Drosophila melanogaster: one gene and its partners. The protein of the gene in region 3 interacts with the protein of the main gene of each other region in a pairwise test. Each region holds a gene or a part of one and is shown on either strand. Other genes may lie near its edges.

What was found.
Region 1: the proteins of CG4853 (region 3) and CG17327 interact in a two-hybrid assay, tested with the Drosophila melanogaster proteins (one large-scale study listed by BioGRID).
Region 2: the proteins of CG4853 (region 3) and Roe1 interact in a two-hybrid assay, tested with the Drosophila melanogaster proteins (one large-scale study listed by BioGRID).
Region 4: the proteins of CG4853 (region 3) and Mic26-27 interact in a two-hybrid assay, tested with the Drosophila melanogaster proteins (one large-scale study listed by BioGRID).

The regions. Positions count from the first base shown.
Region 1 is NT_033777.3:12,996,371-12,999,609, forward strand, and holds CG17327 (uncharacterized protein), read right to left. Parts: upstream 1,357-3,239; 5' UTR 1,153-1,356; coding exon of another isoform or gene 972-1,152; coding exon 552-971; 3' UTR 506-551; downstream 1-505. Other genes in the region: CG7488 (uncharacterized protein), read left to right, coding at 1-254, 312-499; CG44194 (uncharacterized protein), read right to left, coding at 955-1,152; CG7518 (uncharacterized protein), read left to right, coding at 2,215-2,730, 3,071-3,154, 3,213-3,239.
Region 2 is NT_033778.4:13,552,273-13,556,146, forward strand, and holds Roe1 (Roe1), read left to right. Parts: upstream 1-1,804; 5' UTR 1,805-1,908; coding exon 1,909-1,994; intron 1,995-2,114; coding exon 2,115-2,409; intron 2,410-2,754; coding exon 2,755-3,015; 3' UTR 3,016-3,334; downstream 3,335-3,874. Other genes in the region: link, read left to right, coding at 3,716-3,874. UniProt on the Drosophila melanogaster protein: Essential component of the PAM complex, a complex required for the translocation of transit peptide-containing proteins from the inner membrane into the mitochondrial matrix in an ATP-dependent manner.
Region 3 is NT_033778.4:17,512,505-17,517,945, reverse strand, and holds CG4853 (uncharacterized protein), read right to left. Parts: upstream 3,730-5,441; 5' UTR 3,530-3,729; exon of another isoform or gene 3,367-3,529; 5' UTR 3,209-3,366; coding exon 2,417-3,208; intron 2,362-2,416; coding exon 1,624-2,361; intron 1,562-1,623; coding exon 1,418-1,561; intron 1,362-1,417; coding exon 1,156-1,361; intron 1,092-1,155; coding exon 842-1,091; 3' UTR 501-841; downstream 1-500. Other genes in the region: APC10 (anaphase promoting complex subunit 10), read left to right, coding at 35-483; CtsK2 (cathepsin K2), read right to left, coding at 4,191-4,896, 4,962-5,170, 5,231-5,441.
Region 4 is NT_033777.3:16,143,885-16,148,608, forward strand, and holds Mic26-27 (MICOS subunit 26/27), read right to left. Parts: upstream 2,972-4,724; 5' UTR 2,691-2,971; coding exon 2,539-2,690; intron 2,476-2,538; coding exon 1,947-2,475; 3' UTR 879-1,946; coding exon of another isoform or gene 744-878; 3' UTR 689-743; coding exon of another isoform or gene 539-688; 3' UTR 517-538; downstream 1-516. Other genes in the region: Sb (stubble), read left to right, coding at 11-308, 539-688, 744-878; CG5916 (uncharacterized protein), read left to right, coding at 3,758-3,786, 3,859-4,490, 4,551-4,724.

The DNA of each region.
Region 1 (3,239 bases), on a different chromosome or scaffold from region 3:
GGAGTCTAGCTGGAGCCATTTTAGCGACGTGTTTCTTGTTTCCGCCTTGACCGGCAATGGGCTGCAGGAGATGCAGAACTACCTGGTGGGCCAGGCTAAGCCCAGGGATTGGAAATACCCAGCTGACATTCATACGGACTCCAGCCCAGAAGCATTAATTGTGGAGAGTGTGCGGGCTCGTCTGCTGGACTACTTGCCGCAGGAGATACCCTACAACCTTAAGTGCGAGATCGAGTACTACAGTGTGGAAAAAAGTGAGTACTTCTGTACACTCGTAAAGAAATCCTTTTCAATTCCGATTTTCTTTGCAGATGTTGTCTACACATCCGTGCAGGTTCAGTGCCCCACCACGCGAATCGAGCGCCTAATCTGTGGCGAGGGTAATGGCAAGCTGCGGCAGATCACGGAGCGAGTTACATCAGACCTGGTGGAGATGTTCGGCCAAGCAGTGTCCCTTACTATATCTACAGTTTCCAAGGGCAAGAAGACCGCCGCTTGAGCACTTGTTGATTACTTGTACTTTATTTGTAACGTTGCATAAACCTAAGAGTTCACAAAAGCTTCAAATGCGCCACCAATTTGTCTAGATCTTCGGCAGGGGCTGGACCCAGTCCGAGGACCGTTGCTGTCCCAGATTCCAGCTGAGTGCGCCCGGCATCCCTCACCAAGGCGGCCACCACGTTCGACTCTTGGGCCTGTCGCTCCAGGGAGTTTAGCTGCTCGAAGTTGTCCACGCGCAGCACTATCTTCGGCTGTCCCAGGCGACACCAACGCTGCAGAATGGCGTTCTGCAGCTTGGTTCCCTGCACAGAGCTCTGGTAGCACATGACCGCCGCATGGGCGCACTGGGCCGCTGTCTTTCCCTTGGACATCTTTAGGTCGGTTCGGACCACCAGCGCCAGTTTGGTGGACTTGCCGAAGGCCAAACCGTTGCTGAGGAACTTCTGCAGGATGCTACTTGACGTGGGCATACTTCTGGCTCTGCTGCTCCACGTACTTCTGCATGCACGCCCGGAACTCTTTCACCTTCTCCTGGCAAGCCCTCCAGTCGCCCGTCTCGGCGATACACTCCTGCACCTTGTAGTGAAGCTCTATGCAGCCGGTCTTCTTCAGCATTAGTTCCACGGGATCCTGGTCCGTCGATGCGGACATTTTCTTCTCCACTTCGCCGGCTGAATTCGTTCGTTTCGAAATTACGAAATTCGGTCAGGGTTGTCAACACATCGAAGGGACACGGATATATTCTGTACGACATTTGGCCCACTATCGAATTGAAAGAATTTACTGTAAAATATATTTTCTTGCATTATAAATGTGTTTATTCCATAGACAGAATAGGAAATTTTTAGATCTTTGGGACCTTTTTCTGTATAAATACATGATGATTTGTTTTACCTACAATATATGTTGAAAAAAGTATATGAAACATACATTCCTATGGTTTTACAATTTTTGTATGGCTTAAAATGCTTTTTTAACATTTCCCAAATCAAATTTTTAAGAACGCATTAGTATAGTTTTCTAAGAATGGACCACACAGAAGTAAAGTAAAGCTCATATAAATAAAAGTTTGTGTTTGTTCTTTGGGATAGATGTAGAAAACTTTTCGGCCAAACAAGTGTGCACGGGGTATGACCATTTATTCGTGACTCTTGCGCGGCGTTGCGGTAATTTGAGCGAAGGCCGCCACGGGCACACCGATGCGAATGCAATCAACGAGAAACGAGCGAATTGCAACGAGCAGGCGAAAAATCACAAAAAGCGGAAAATCACAACAATCGTGGGTGCAAACGAAACGGAAACTGCGAGGCAACGGAAAGTCGGGTCCCGGAAAATCCAAACGGATGGCCCTGCAGTGAAACGCTGATGAAAGCAGAGGCGCACTTGGCGCGATTCGAGGGGCAAAGCGCGTTGCGTTGTGCTGCTCTGCGTTCTTTTCCAAAACCGATTTCGATTCCAAAAACCAAACCAATCCAATACCCACACTTATACACTTGCACACCGACACACCAGCGCACACACACAGACACGCGCGCGCATACAGTGAGCGAGTGAAAGTGCATCTACATCTGTGATTTCGTATATAATAATGCGTCGCGCATACGCGGATTTGGCCAGCAGAAGCACCAAAGACTAACAAGTGATCCGGAGCCGGGGACTGACTGAGTTGGCTGGGCTCATTGACCCATCCACCGCGTGAAAGCCCCGCCAGAAATGGCCGATCAGGTGGCGCACACCAAAGAAACGGATGCAGATGAGCCGCTGGTCAATGGCGAACTGCCAATGGAGGAGGCGCCGCCTTCCTGCTGCCATGTGATGTCTCTGTCCTCCATGGACGTAGATGTAGATGCGGATGCGGAGGGCGATGTGGATGCCACAGCGTCCTCCTCCTGCGTCGCCACCGCTTCCCAGCTGAATCCGTCGCCACCGCCTGCTGGTGTCCAACAGGCGAAGCCGGCGCGGAGCAGCTCACCGCCATGCCAGCTCCTGGAGCGGCTCAGCTTTCCCGACGGCAACATCATCAACACGCTGCACACGATCCTCGCCCTGCCTCCTTTTGATCCTTATGCCCCCGCCCCCAAAGCGGAGACGGTCTACAAGGAGGTCGTATCGCTGATGCAGTGGAGCCAGCGGGAAGACAACGCCATCGAACTGGAGCTCAGCGACAAGCTGCTGCACGAGTGCGAGCACAAGGGCGGCGATCCCAACGATGAGACGCGATCGTATTTGGTGGGTTCCCAGAAGCTGCCCGAAAGCTGTGGAGATCGATTTCATTTCATGTATTTTTTTTATTTAAATGTACTATTAAAGATGTGTGTGGGATTTTTTTATATTATACCTACATTTAGATTGGATTTAATGAGTTATCAAATCAAATGGGATAGAAATTATCTTATTAGATCGACTTTAGATGTTTCGAAATACTTAAACATGATTTTTTTTGGTTTAAAGAACACTTATTTGAAATTATGCTTTAGAATATTGATAGGTGCAATCATACCAAATACATTATATTTGAGAATATAAAGCTTTCTCAGTAAATACTCACTATCGTTCACCTTCTTTTCAGATGGCCATTGAGAACATGCGCCTGTTCTCTGAGGATCCAAAGAATCCGCTTCGTGACGCCGACGGACAGCTGCGTGCAATTACGGTGTGTTTGCTTGAAAGGATTAAGATGTATAACGAAACGTACTCCTAATCCATTGTAGCTATATTTCCAGAATCTTGCCTTCATA
Region 2 (3,874 bases), 4.0 Mb from region 3:
GGTGCTGGCATTCCACTTGTATGCCTGCAGATGCTTGGAGAGATCAGGGACACATCTGTGCCCTATCTGGAGGAATGCCGTGCTATATATGCCGTTTAAATGCAGTACACCGCACTGATTGTTAACGAATTCTTTCGATGCAAAAAAAAAACTGGTCAAAGTTTTGGCTAGGGCTGTCAATAAGTCGATTAAATAATCGATAGCATCGATTTCTTGGCCCATCGCGAAAGTAAGCGCGAAATTTAAAAACCCAACGGATGTCTTCACCTTCGTCATTCAGAAGAGCATTCGTCATTCATAATTAATGTCGACAAAGGAGTGTACTTGGCATTGCAAATTAGTCAGGCACGTGAAAACACCATTTTTATTTTTAGCCTAATTTGTACGTGTTTTTGAGTGCTTTTAACCTCTCAAACAAACATTTTTGTTGTTTATTTTTAGAACCGCTTATAAACAATATACAACTATATGGCGGAGAAATGGCATTGTGTGAAAAACTTTAATTAGATCTAAGAATATCATTTAATATATTGTTTTTTAATGTGTTTTTATTGCACAGATAGCTATTAATAGCACTTGGAATCTTTCTTTAATAGGAAATCTACTATAGACACTGTTGAAACTAGCTTTAGCTGTAGTTTTTGTATAAAACCTAGTCTAAACTACATGTTTACTATGTTTACCTCTTTATTTCCCTTCCTGTGAAGCTTTCTTAGTCCACCCACCTGAATTGTTTACGCCTCTCACTCAAATCCAGGACTCTTCTCAATGGCTTGGGTGAGTTGCCCGGCGACGTGGCTGCCGCTCCATCATTTTCCTCCTCCAGAGAACTGGACACCGAGGTACTTGCCACCATTTGGAGGGCCAATTGGAGATCCTCCTCACGCATTTTTTGTTGTTTTTTTTTATTGGAAAAGTATGAAAAAAAAACCGAGTTTTGAGACGACAACCTCGTTGTTCCGGTGGCGAGATCCAACTAAGTGACTTCTCGTGCTTCGTTTTCCAAAATATATACAATGCATGCGCATATGTAATACTTGGCAGTGCGATCGGAGAGGTAAGTTGTTGAATAGATGCTATGCCCGCCTCGTACACTCGTACTTTGAATTCATTAAGAGCCTTCCGATATTTACATTTCCAGAGCAACTTTTTTCGAGCGGTCCATATTTTGGCGGCCCCGGGGCGTGGCCGATCTGGTATGAGATCGATTTATAAGCTATGCGTGGATTAATAGCCGGTGGCGCACTCTTAATAATATATGTCCGAAGGTAGCGCCAAGAATATAGGCCCATTTTTGCATTAACACCGATCGATTTTAAGTGGACCTGCGCCTGCCAATATTGTCGATACACATTTTCACATTTTTATATGCCATTTGCATATTCCGTTTGTCCATTTTATATAAGAAATATTTTGTCGCTTTAAATTTGTATTTATGACCAAGGTGAATTCTCAGGGGTGTCAGGAACTACTGATCAAGTAGGGATTTCTTTATTAATAATAATTGTTTGTTTATTGCATTTTTGGGTTTAAGTGTGTAAAGTGGTAAAATTTCATACATTTTTGATTTCATTTTGGTAATATTGATGCTATTTAAATATTTATTTATTACTTGCACCGATTTCCTTCTTAATTTATTTTTAAGTATTTTAGTTATATAAAGAGATTTTCTTTGGATTTAATGTAAATAATTTTTTACATGAATGAATCCGAGCTTACATCTATTCTACATCCGACTTGACTGTTGCATTCTACAGCTGCGCTGCGGTCACACTAAGCGGCAACACCGGGTGGAATCGATAAACAATTACTATCGAACACACATCGATTGTTGAGAGAGCTGTGAAGCCGACGATTTTACGTCAAAAGCGGAATAAGTTTATTTAACGTACGAAAAAGCTAAGCATAATGTCAGCAAAGGCAGCCTTACCACTGCAGATGTTTGGCCGGCGACTCGTCCACCTGAGGTCATCGGTCACTTCTCAAAATATGAGGTAATTCCGGTTGCATTGCTTCCTCTTATCTGTGACGTAATGAGGGCGCACGTTTGTCGTTTCGCATGTAATTCTAACATTGCCTCCCGTCTCACTCCCAATCGTCTACCACACAACCAGTGCCCTGCGTTTGTACAGCACAGAGAAACAGCCGGAAGAAGCGACAGAGCAGAAGGCCACCGAATCGTCGCCAGAAGTTGAGAAACTCACCAAGGAACTGGCCGCCGCCAAGGAGCAGAATGCCGAGCTAATGGACAAATACAAGCGTTCGCTAGCCGACAGCGAAAACATGAGGAACCGACTGAACAAACAGATCAGCGACGCCAAGATCTTTGGCATCCAGAGCTTCTGCAAGGATCTGCTCGAGGTGGCGGACACACTGGGACATGCCACACAGGCGGTGCCCAAGGATAAGGTACAAACTATCTTATCTTAAGATTTAAGGTTTAAGGTATCTTAAGGATTCAGACTCGCAATGAAGTTGCATATGTTGAGATAAGAATTTCGTAATTATTTGTTGCCAATACTTGAAAATCTTCATAGCATTTTAAGGTGTATTTTCCCGATCTTTCCATTTCTATCTGAGAGATAACAAACCCGATTGCATTACATACATCTAATTGTACATATAGATTTGTTGGGGTATTTTAAATTGAGATATTTGGATAACTTGTTAGCCATTTTAGACTTAATAGATAGTTTAATCGTTTTGCATTAACATTCTTAAAGCTACCCTTACTAATGATCTTAATTATTGCAGCTCAGCGGCAATGCTGATTTGAAGAACCTGTACGAGGGCCTCACCATGACGCGCGCCTCGCTGCTGCAGGTGTTCAAGCGACACGGACTGGAGCCACTGGATCCCATCAACCAGAAGTTCGACCCCAATCAGCACGAGGCGCTGTTCCAGAAGGAGGACAAGACCGTCGAGCCCAACACCGTGGTGGAGGTGACCAAGCTGGGCTACAAACTGCACGAGCGTTGCATACGTCCGGCCTTGGTGGGCGTGTCGAAGTGTTGATAGCCATGCGGCTGCCCAGAGGCATGTAAAATTCCCAGTACTCCCCCCCCCCCCCTAAACCAATTTACATGGCGTGTGTCTCTCAATTGTTTGCAATTTGTTTTCCGCTGCAAAATTCATGTACGTAAACCCTGTGTAAATACAACCTATCCCACAAACGCATCCTTCGGGCAAAGCTTGCGAATTTAGAATTCCTCCTAGTTTCTAAGAGATCTGTGACTGGATTTGATGGCCACAATTTGTACCATACGCGTGGCCATCGAGTGTTCCACTTTAAGGTTTAATTACGATAATAAAACATGTTTTAGTTTGTTGAAATATACCACGGAAATTTGTATTTCATCCTCATCTGGAGGAGACTCTGTTTATCTAGGTCTCTTTTTAGTTTCCTTTGATTTTCCCCGTTTTCCTTAGCCCTTGAAATTCGAATCCCTCATGAAAAACCATTTCTTTTGTTAACAAAAACCAGGTAGCGAAGCGTAATCGCATTCCTGCTCGTCGCGTAGGTGGAAAATTCAATGGAAATGCGTGATTTTCTATGACCCAGCAGGTAGGCTTCCAAGCACGTTCCCATGAATTCAGAGGTAGCACAGATGGTGGGTTCCCTAAAACGAGATTTGCGCCAGAGTTGAAAGTCTACTTCAAACGGTTTTGAACTATCTCGTTGGTTAGTTGTCCTTAAACATTTGAAGTGAACGGTATGATTGGTGTGCTAATGCGTTTTCTCTGGTCCTTGGCCATGGTGCAGTGCATCCAGGCTAGAGTGTCGATGCTGCCTCGTTTTTATGGACAAGACAGCGCTGTTATAGTGGACATCAATAGAAAATTCCCACCTAGAATGGACTCCAAGCTGCAGAAT
Region 3 (5,441 bases):
CCTTACATATTCTACAATTTTCTTTGGCCTTCAGGATTTGGTGTAGAGCGTTTGCGAGACAACATCATGGATACTTATTGGCAGTCGGACGGTCAGCTTCCCCACCTGGTCAACATTCAATTCCACAAGCGTACGAACATCAGTCAGATTTACATATACACGGATTACAAGCTGGACGAGAGTTACACGCCATCAAGGATCTCCATACGATCTGGAACGAACTTCAACGACTTGCAGGAGCTGCAGGTGATGGACCTGACCGAACCCACCGGCTGGGTGCAGATACCCATTAAGGATGGGAACGTCAAGTCCATACGCACCTTCATGCTTCAGATTGCTGTGATCTCGAACCACCAGAATGGCAGGGACACCCACATGCGCCAGATCCGCATCCATGCGCCCGTCGAGGGCAAGCACTATCCTCTGGAACTGTTTGGCAAGTTTGGAACGGTCGACTTTCAGAAGTTCGCCACCATTCGTTAGGGAAAACTTTGGGATTTATCGAAGTCTTTTATTTTTATGTATTTTTCGGGGTATATAACTGCTAAAATACAACATTTAAAACATTACTTTAGTAATTTTATGCATATTTTTGGTGTTTCTAATTAAATGCCCGTCACTTGTATATATATAATTCGAATGCAAATAAATATATACCGTCGTCTAAGCTTAAGTACAAATTAACAAACACAGTGGAAGTGTAAGAGTTATTATTGTTACTGTTTTATCGCGATACAAATGCAAAATGTGAAAATGGAACGCCAACGAAAGAGTGCGAGAATTATTGCATCGTTTTGTATTGTATTGCACTATCTCGAGGATTGTCGTTAATGATTGGTGATTATGTGTTCGATTTCCTTGCAGCTTTCAACGTCTTGTAGTGATCCTTCTCCTCGCCGGTCTCGGGTGGCTCGCTTTCGTAGGAGGCCTTCATCAAAAGATCCTCGCTCAGCACCTCCGCCTTCAACAGGTAGGACACCACACTAGGCAACTGCTCGTATGGACAGTCCAATCGCTGCCATTTGCCAAAATTCCGCAGCTGGGTGCCCAAATGAAGGCACTTCTCAAAGTTTATGTATCCGTTGGCCAATCTGCAAACGGATTTGAATTCGGTTAATCTCGAAACAGAGCTCATTTATGCACAAACAAACTCACTTTGTTTCATGGCTCTCGTTAATGGCATGCAAATCTTTGAGGAACAGCGAGAAGAATGGGATGATGGCACGCTCAATTTCGTTGGCCATTTCCCTTTCCGAACGCCAAACAGCTGCCTTCATGGTGGATCTGTAGTTAAGAAAGTTCGAACTGGGATCCATTTGATGCTCCAAACCCTCGAACTTTGTCGTCTGCACTTTGGCCCACTATAAAAAATAGTAGTAAAATCAGACTTCACTCGTTTTACTTAACGAAAACTCACCGTTTTCTTTAGGCGAGCTATGGCAGTAAGATTCAATGCTGTTAGAATGGCCATCAAGCTGTTGAAGTTGCCTGTGTTAAAGCATTCCAGAGCTGTTTCCACCCAGAAGTCGATCATTTGTGCTCTCTGGGACTTTTTGCCCAACTAGGAACGAACGAATCATATTTTTTATTTGATTAATGGTTAATTTTTTTTTTAGTACTCACCTTTAATATTTCCGTTGCAGTCAAGTAGCTTAGCTGGTTGAACCACTGCACGTAACTGTCGATTGTCACCTGGCTGATGCAATTCGAACCCAAGGTGCCCGCCTTGGTTTGGCTTATGCAGGTCTTCAGCTCATCCTTTTCGAGGATTTCCACAAACTCCTCAAGACGTATTTGTGACAGATAGGCGTACTCGATGGCATAAAGTTGGTGAGCCAACTCGAAGGCACTGCTGCAGTTGTTTAGCACATTGTCTGTTTTGTAGACATTGGCGGCAAAGCGTTTCAGCGACTTAATACTGCTCTGACGTCCCAACGAGCTGGCCGACGATTGCTTGGTAAGCAGGTTATTTAGTTGACTTCGTCCATTTTCGTCCTTTTGCGCCAAAGCTTGGGGAATTCCATCCAAAAAAGCTGCCAATCCTTTTACATTACGCTTATTTTCCAGCTCCTGCAATAGCAGTTCATGGCTAAAGTCCCCGGGACAGGTGTCTAGCCATTCGTTCAAAAGTCGTAACACGTTTTCCTCCTCATTATCAATCTTGGCAATGATTTTGGAAAGCAGCTGGTGTGGTGGTGAAAACAAGCGGGAAGTGGTCAGAAAGGCAAACCGCAAATCCTTAGTATTATTATTGATAAGCAGGTTGACCACCGAATCCAGGTTGCCCTTCTTGGGTATGTCTTTGGCGTAAACTGGCGCTGTTTGGCAATCGAATGGCTCTGTGATCTTCAAGTGGGTGTTCTAATTTAGGTAAATTATTAGTTATTTAGCGACTGGCAAATCCGTTCAAACTTACTAGGATAGAAACCGCATCCGACTCATCTGCGGAGCTGGGAATGTCGCAGTACAAAGAGTCGGTTAAGGTGTCACGTGGATGTGACCAGGGTGCACTCATCGACACGCTGTGGAAGAGGCCATCGTGCCCGGAGTCGCAGCTGCTTATATTCGAGCTTTTGTCCCCAATAGTGGTGGATGATACAGATCCGATGACCTGATCGGATCCAGTAATAGCAGAGCTGCTGGACATAAGGGAAGCATTCGAGAAGGTTTGGTTCAGCTGCCGGCCCAAAGGATCAACTGGACGCTCGTCCGAGTCTGTGGCCTGCGATGCGAACGTGGAATTCGAAGTGGTTCGGTATTTGAGGGCATTCTCGGGAGTGGCACGCGCCAAGGCCGACTGCTGCTTGACAGGATGCCAGATCTCTTTCTGGTGCGACTGATGGTTAAAGTTTTCCTTGGTCTCCACGGTGCGTTCGTCTAGGATTTGTCCGTTGCGCGAGACCAGCACCTCCTCCGTGGTGGTCAGAGAGGACTTGACGGTCAACGAGGTCTCTACCTCGATGGGCTGTTGGGCCAATCCGGCGCGGAAGAGCAATTGATTCAGGTGCTCAACCGATGGCATCTGCCCCTCCAGCAAAGCTGCCTTTATGGCACTGGCATCATCCGCCGGCAGCCCATCCAGCTTCACCGGCACTCCGTTGACCAGCAACACCTCCTCCTGCTGCAGCGAGGATGAGGTTTCGCAGTCCACGATCTTGACATCCTTGCCGAACAGGGACTCCACAGCGTTTAGGATATCTTCGTCCATGCTTGGGGCGGGGTTATCGGGGATGGGGAAAGTGCAGACACACGGGGATCTCTGGAGAAACGTGACTATTTGGCTGCGATGGTTGTTAAATGCGTTATGACCACAGGGGGACTCTTTGGATTAGTCGCAATGCACATGCACCACTATCGCGTACATTTCTGGAAAGGAAGGGGCAAGGGGAAACCTCGATTAGCACACACACAGTGGGAGAAAGACAGGTGGCCGGGGGCTTTGGTTTCGTGCGCTCTGGTGACAACGCCCACTTTCCCAAAAGTGGGCTGGTCTCTTCTGATCAGAACATCGCTTCCGGAGCAGACACACCTGCAGGAACACTGTTGCGCGGTGGCCTTCCATCGGACGCACTGCCGCCTTTCGTCACGGCATTCCCCGCCTGCTGCTCATCAAATGTCCGCCGTTTTTTCTGCGCCTAATATAGTTTAATTCGCCAATTGACTTAATTTATTTCTATTATTGTTGTCTCGGTACAGCGATACCATCGATGTTTACACAAATTTGGCAATAATCGATATCCCCAACTGGGGAAATCATCGATTACTTGCTTTCTTGCTGTAAATATCCGCATCTGGCAACGCTTTTAACAGGTTTTAAAATGTCAAGCGTTATTTCCGTTACTATCCCCAAACATTTTTTTAATTTACCCGAATATCTAGATCTTCTTGTTTGGACATAAAGGTCTGGTTATTGTTCACATCAAATTGCTGAACTCCTCTAAAGTTCGTTTAGTGCCCAATTAACCCGTGAATAGTTTTAAATTTCCAAAAGATTCTTGTTTATTCCTCTTTAATTTGTTATCTGTAAATATTTAAGCAAAGCAATGCATTGCATTACTTTCGTTTAACTACTCTAATTTAGCAGCATTATAATTAAGAAAAGACTTTTATTTAAGAAATGGACGCAACCAACGCCAAGTCCACATCACAAACTGCACAGTAAATTTTGCCATAAATTTCGGATTCCCCGCTTAAACCACGGGATAGGAGCACTCCTCAGCAATGAAGCAGTAGTTTTTGCCGCGAGGCAGGCGGAAGTAGCCCTTTTCGCCCCAGGTGTCGTCCCAGGAGTTCTTGACGATCCAGTAATCCTGTCCTTTCTCCGATCCGTAACCGACGACCAGAATGGAGTGGTTCGGCTCGCCCTTGTTGCACTCATCGTCGTTATAGATGCCACCGGCGTAGTTCTTAAGAGTCTCCAAACCATTCACCGAACAGGCAACTGGTCCCAGAGTGGCCACCACCTTCTTCAGCTGCTCCTCGTCCTTGGGCGGAATAGCGGCGAATCCCTGGAGGGTGGCTCCGGACTTGCTGCCATCGTACTTGCACGTGCCCTTGTTGTCAATGTAGGGATAGGCCCCCTCCTGGGACACACCCTTTTGCACCTCATCGATGAAACAGAATGCGGCCTCCTGGAAGCCACCATCGCAGCCATTCAGGCCAAAGTCCTCCACCGGACCACAGTCGACCAGATTCTGCTCAGAGAGATTGGGCAGGCTGCCGGTCTTGCGGAAGGTGTGTCCCTCAATGGCACCAGTGGTGGCAAAGGCCCAACAGGAGCCACAGGTACCCTGGAATTTGACTGGTGTGACACCGCCATGCTCGCGCCAATCGAAGGCATCCGGGATGGGCTTCGCAGGCAGGTTGACCAACTTCAAACTGGCAGCAGCTCGAGCCCTGGGTGCAGATATAGAATTGATAAAATCCTATGCCGGCTGTGCAAATGGTTTGTTAGCACTTACTTAGCCTCCGGACTTCTCTTCAGACCGGTCAATTGACTAAGGAACTCAGAGTGGGTCAGATCGGCGAAGGCGTTCACGGCCTGCTTGAAGGTGTGCACTCCTTGGGCAAAGGCTGCGTTTCCGGCTTCCACCAGGTTCTTGGTGGAAGCGAAGGCACCTTCATGAAGAGCGCGATCAGCGGCGGAGAGATAGGTCTTTCCAGATTGGCTCTGCAAATCGGTTGAAGTTTTACTTCTACCTTTGAAATTGATCAATGCTGCCTATCTCACCAAGAAGTCACCAAAGTCCTGGACGTTTGAGAGCAGCGGCACCTTGGGCACAGCCTTGGCAATGTTGCCCACGGCATTCTGAACGGCGCCGGCCACATTTTGTAAAGCTCCACCCACTCGATTGTTGCCCAAGCCTCCGAGTCCACCTCCAAATCCGCCTCCGAGTCCACCTCCAAATCCGCCTCCAAATCCACCGCCTCCGAATCCCTGG
Region 4 (4,724 bases), on a different chromosome or scaffold from region 3:
CCATTTGCAGCCTGCTCATCTCGCAGATACGCATCCGCGTGGGCGAGTACGACTTCTCGCATGTGCAGGAACAGCTGCCCTACATAGAGCGCGGGGTGGCCAAGAAGGTGGTGCATCCCAAGTATAGCTTCCTCACGTACGAATACGACCTGGCGCTGGTCAAGCTGGAGCAGCCGCTCGAATTCGCGCCGCATGTCAGTCCCATTTGCCTGCCCGAGACGGACAGCCTCCTAATTGGCATGAACGCCACGGTCACCGGCTGGGGTCGTCTCAGCGAGGGCGGCACCCTGCCCTCCGTCCTCCAAGAGGTGAGTGTTAACACGACTTTAAGCTTCATTTTTAGAATTCAGCGACAATGATAACCGCTGCGAATCGAACGCAAAAAATTGTCGGTGTGGTTCTAAATGGGGCGATTGCAATTAGGAAAAGTCAGAGAGATCATAAAAGGGATTTCCAACGTGAATCAAAAGATATATATCATAAATCTAAAAATAAAGTTAAATGCAAGACACAAATGTAATCTAATACATTTTAATAGGTCTCCGTGCCGATTGTAAGTAACGATAATTGCAAATCGATGTTCATGCGAGCTGGTCGCCAGGAGTTCATTCCGGATATATTCCTGTGCGCGGGCTATGAAACGGGAGGGCAGGACTCCTGTCAGGGCGATTCAGGAGGTCCACTGCAGGTGAGATGCCGGATAAAGCAAACCTACGAGATATATGCTAATAAACATTTTGCAGGCCAAGTCGCAGGATGGGCGCTTCTTTCTGGCCGGGATCATCTCCTGGGGCATTGGCTGTGCCGAGGCCAATTTGCCCGGAGTCTGTACGAGAATCTCCAAGTTTACGCCGTGGATACTGGAGCATGTCAGATGATGATCAGAAGATACTGACGACGGCAGATCTACTTTTGTTATTTGTTTTAATTTATCAGTTGTATCTATAAGTTTTGTGTGATTTATCTTAAAGGAATGTTAAGCGTAGTTAGCTTCAATTTAACAATTTTAACATCATGGCCTTGTGGGCCACTGCCACGCCCCTATCCGCACTCACCCATTCACCTACACACACACACACACAGTCAACGCCCACTAATTTAGTCTAGCGAAATGTTAGCACCGTAAGTTGTCTAACAAGGAAATCGGTCGGATTTCGAATGGGATTATCTATTTGTACATAGCCGAAGGGATAGGGGGCTTGGGAGGGGTAGGGGGGATTGGGAGTCATTTGCATGTCCACAAGTTGTTGGTATTTTAGTGTAGTAATATTTAACAATTAACTAAATCTATATTTATTGTAAACAAATGCATGCAGACATCCGAACGTTGTTTGTATCTTGCCCAAAGAACAAGTCTATCTATAGCGATGCGAAAGCTCGAGAGCAATAAAAGATTAATGAAAATATTGTCTAATAAATAATGCCGCAATCGGAGAATTGGTCCGCTCGAGATACCCATCGCTATAAGAGCCGATTTCCTCCTCAGCAATAGCAGCCCCCGAGGGCACCGCAAATGGATGGCCAAGACCATTCACACAATTTGTAGTCATCGCCATGTTCGGCTGCGGGCCATGGTCATTGACGATGATGATTGGCACAATCGGTTTTGCACGTGGGGAGATGGAGGATGGGAGACATCCGCAGCCGACACTTTCCTCCGGATTTCACTTTTCAACAGCTCACTGGCGTGACATTTGACTTGACACCAACACCTCAATTAATCACTCGAAGATTCATGTGAGAGCGGGTTCTGGCCACGGCCCACACACATTTGCCAAGTTAAACCGCCGTTTCACTTTTGGGACGCGAGGCCAATTTATTTCTGGCAACAAGAAAAGAGATAACTACTTTCGGATAGAATTCAAGCTTCATACAACTTAAATCGATGCACACTTTTCGCCCGGATGGAGGTGGACTAGGAGTTTCCTTTAGCGGGAGGGCACTTCCTACTTCTTTTTGGGGAAGATTAGATCCTTTGCCTCATCGTACAGGTCACTGGCCATGTACTTAAGGTCCTCCAGCGAGGTAGGGAAGGGCACTACGGGAACATCCTCTCCTGGCTTTACGCCCTTGATGAAGTTGTAGGCCACGGCGAAGATCTTACGGCCCTCGTAGAGTACCACGCGGCAGTTTTCTTCCGCCTGGCGGGGGTAGCACATGGAGGCGACTGCACCTGCTCCGATGCCCGAATACAACACCTTCTTTATGAAGCCTCCACGGGCGGCGAAGATGAAACCAGCCAGACCGCCCACCACAATGGCTCCGCTGCGGTGCAGGGAGTTCTGGGGCTCGTTCAGCATGTCGATGGTGGACTGGGTGTGTGCCTTAGCGGTTTCCACGTAATGGCCGACAATGCCGGCTTGATCGGCCACTGCCTTATATCCAGACTGCACCTCCTCGCGCACATAGCGGACTCCGGCCTCCAGGTTCTTGTGCAGCACAGAGTCTTGTGGTGGATGCCGTTCTGGCTTGGGTCTGCGGTAGCATTAAAGGAGTATCGTTAAGGCTGGGACCTTTTTCTTGCATTGGGGCACTCACTCTGTCTTGCGCAAGCTGCCGTAGATGGGCAGCTCGCTGGGCCGGCACACCAGGCTGCAGTCCGCCGCACTGGAGGCTGGTTTCTGGGGCTCGGGAGCCGCTTTAACGGCAACCGCCGCCATGATTCCCATCGTTGCCGTTTTGCGCAGCATCTCGAAGTGGTCAGGAGCTGGTTAAAGTGCCTCGCTGGGTCGATCGGAGTGTGTGTACACACGGAATTTGGCCAACTGTTTGGTAAATTGCTTGTTTTACATCAGTTGTTAGACATTGCGTAATTTGTCACAGCACGGTTCGACTGAATGACGCATGACGACGAATGAAAGCAGTGGGTGATTCGTGCAACAGATGTTCACAGCTGTCACGTGTGAGGGTGGTCACGATATATCGGTATTGCTATTAGATTAATTTGTAAGGTCATCTATTTTCTGCATTTGATGATATAAACGAATGAAATCATTAAATTTTTTTGCTTCAAATCCGATTTTTTAAATGCCATCCACCGTTTATTTTCTATTGACACGATTTTAAGCGATATGTAACAAAGCAGTTCGATGTATCGCATCATAATCATCGTAGAATGGAACTAGTTTACCGTTCTACCGTTTTCCCAGTTCGTGACTCTGGTCACTTTCCACAAGACGCGAATTTTATTCACCAGTAAGAACAAAAATATGCAAACTCAAGCCCACTGATAAGCGGACCAGCAATCTTCAATGAAATCACTACTTTTAAATAATCCGCCATCGACCATTTGCAAGCGCGCGTTAAGCGGAGCCAACGCACTCGCCCACGCCCACCCCCTTGTCACCTGTCCGTTGGCCGCCCACCCAAATCGGTCGTCGGTCCGTTAATGTTATCAGTTCAGCAGCGGAGGCAGCAACAACGTCGAGTGGGCGCGCACAAAAGGCCACCCATCGCTCAAGGACGAGGCGTAGGCAGAGGTAGTGCCAGCCAAGGCCAAATGGGCTTATAAATAAATGAAGGGCCCCCAGTTAAAGGCAATATTTATTGACTTTTGCAGCAGGTTCAATCCGTTGCAGTTGCAGCAGAAGCGGTAGAGGCGCAGGCAGCGACGTAACCGCACAACGTGCGCCGAATACGAAATCTTTTTTTGGGGCCATGCCACGAGCCACGAACGGCTGACAGGAAATCGTGGCCAACGACGAAGAAATCCACACTTCTTCACTGTGAGCAATTGAAACTCTAGTCAATAGTTCATATGGATGCTACCGCAAGTTCAAAGTTCAGGTGAGCATTCAGTTATATAGTAATTATTTTCACTTACGCATATCTTTACGCATCTAAACCGCACGTGGTTAGCGATGTGGACGAATATGGCTTCAAGCGTGGCGACCACTTCGACTATAACAACTACTCAAAGTTCATGGATGGTTACCTGAAAACGTTAACGCGGCGCCGCATGAAATGGGAGGCCATTCTGCAGCAAAATACCGATCTCACCCAGGTGGACGCCAAGCTGAAGCGGTACATTCGGAAGGGCATTCCTGGTCCATACCGTCCCGACGTCTGGATGAAGATATCTGGAGCTGCCGCCGCCCAGCGTCGCTCGCCGGATCTCTTTCGCAACCTTCTGCGCACCGAGCCCTTCGACAAAGAAATCAGCGATTCCATATCAATCGATCTACCTCGTACCTTCCCCGACAATATTCACTTCGATATGAAGAAGCAGCGGTTGTACAACATTCTCATCGCCTACGCCCATCACAATCGGGACGTGGGTTACTGCCAAGGTCTTAACTACATAGCCGGCCTCCTGTTGATCGTCACCGACGATGAGGAGAAGTCCTTTTGGCTGCTCAAGCATATCGTTGAAAACATCGTGCCGCAATACCATTCCCATAATATGGCCAATCTGCTGAGGGATCTGGCCGTGTTCCGCGAATTGGTCATCCGGCGAATTCCCGCTGTAAATCGGCATGTGGATAACTTGGGTAAGATTTAGTTTAAAGAACTAAGTCCGTAACCAGTTGCTAACATATTTTTTATTCCAGGCCTGCCCTATCCGGTGATCGCCAGCAAATGGTTCATCTGCATCTTTGCCGAGGTGCTGCCCGTGGAGACTGTGCTACGTATATGGGACTGTGTCTTTGCCGAGGGCTACAAGATCGTTTTTCGTGCCGCCCTAACCATGTTCGTCACTCACAAGAACGCCATTCTGGGCTGTG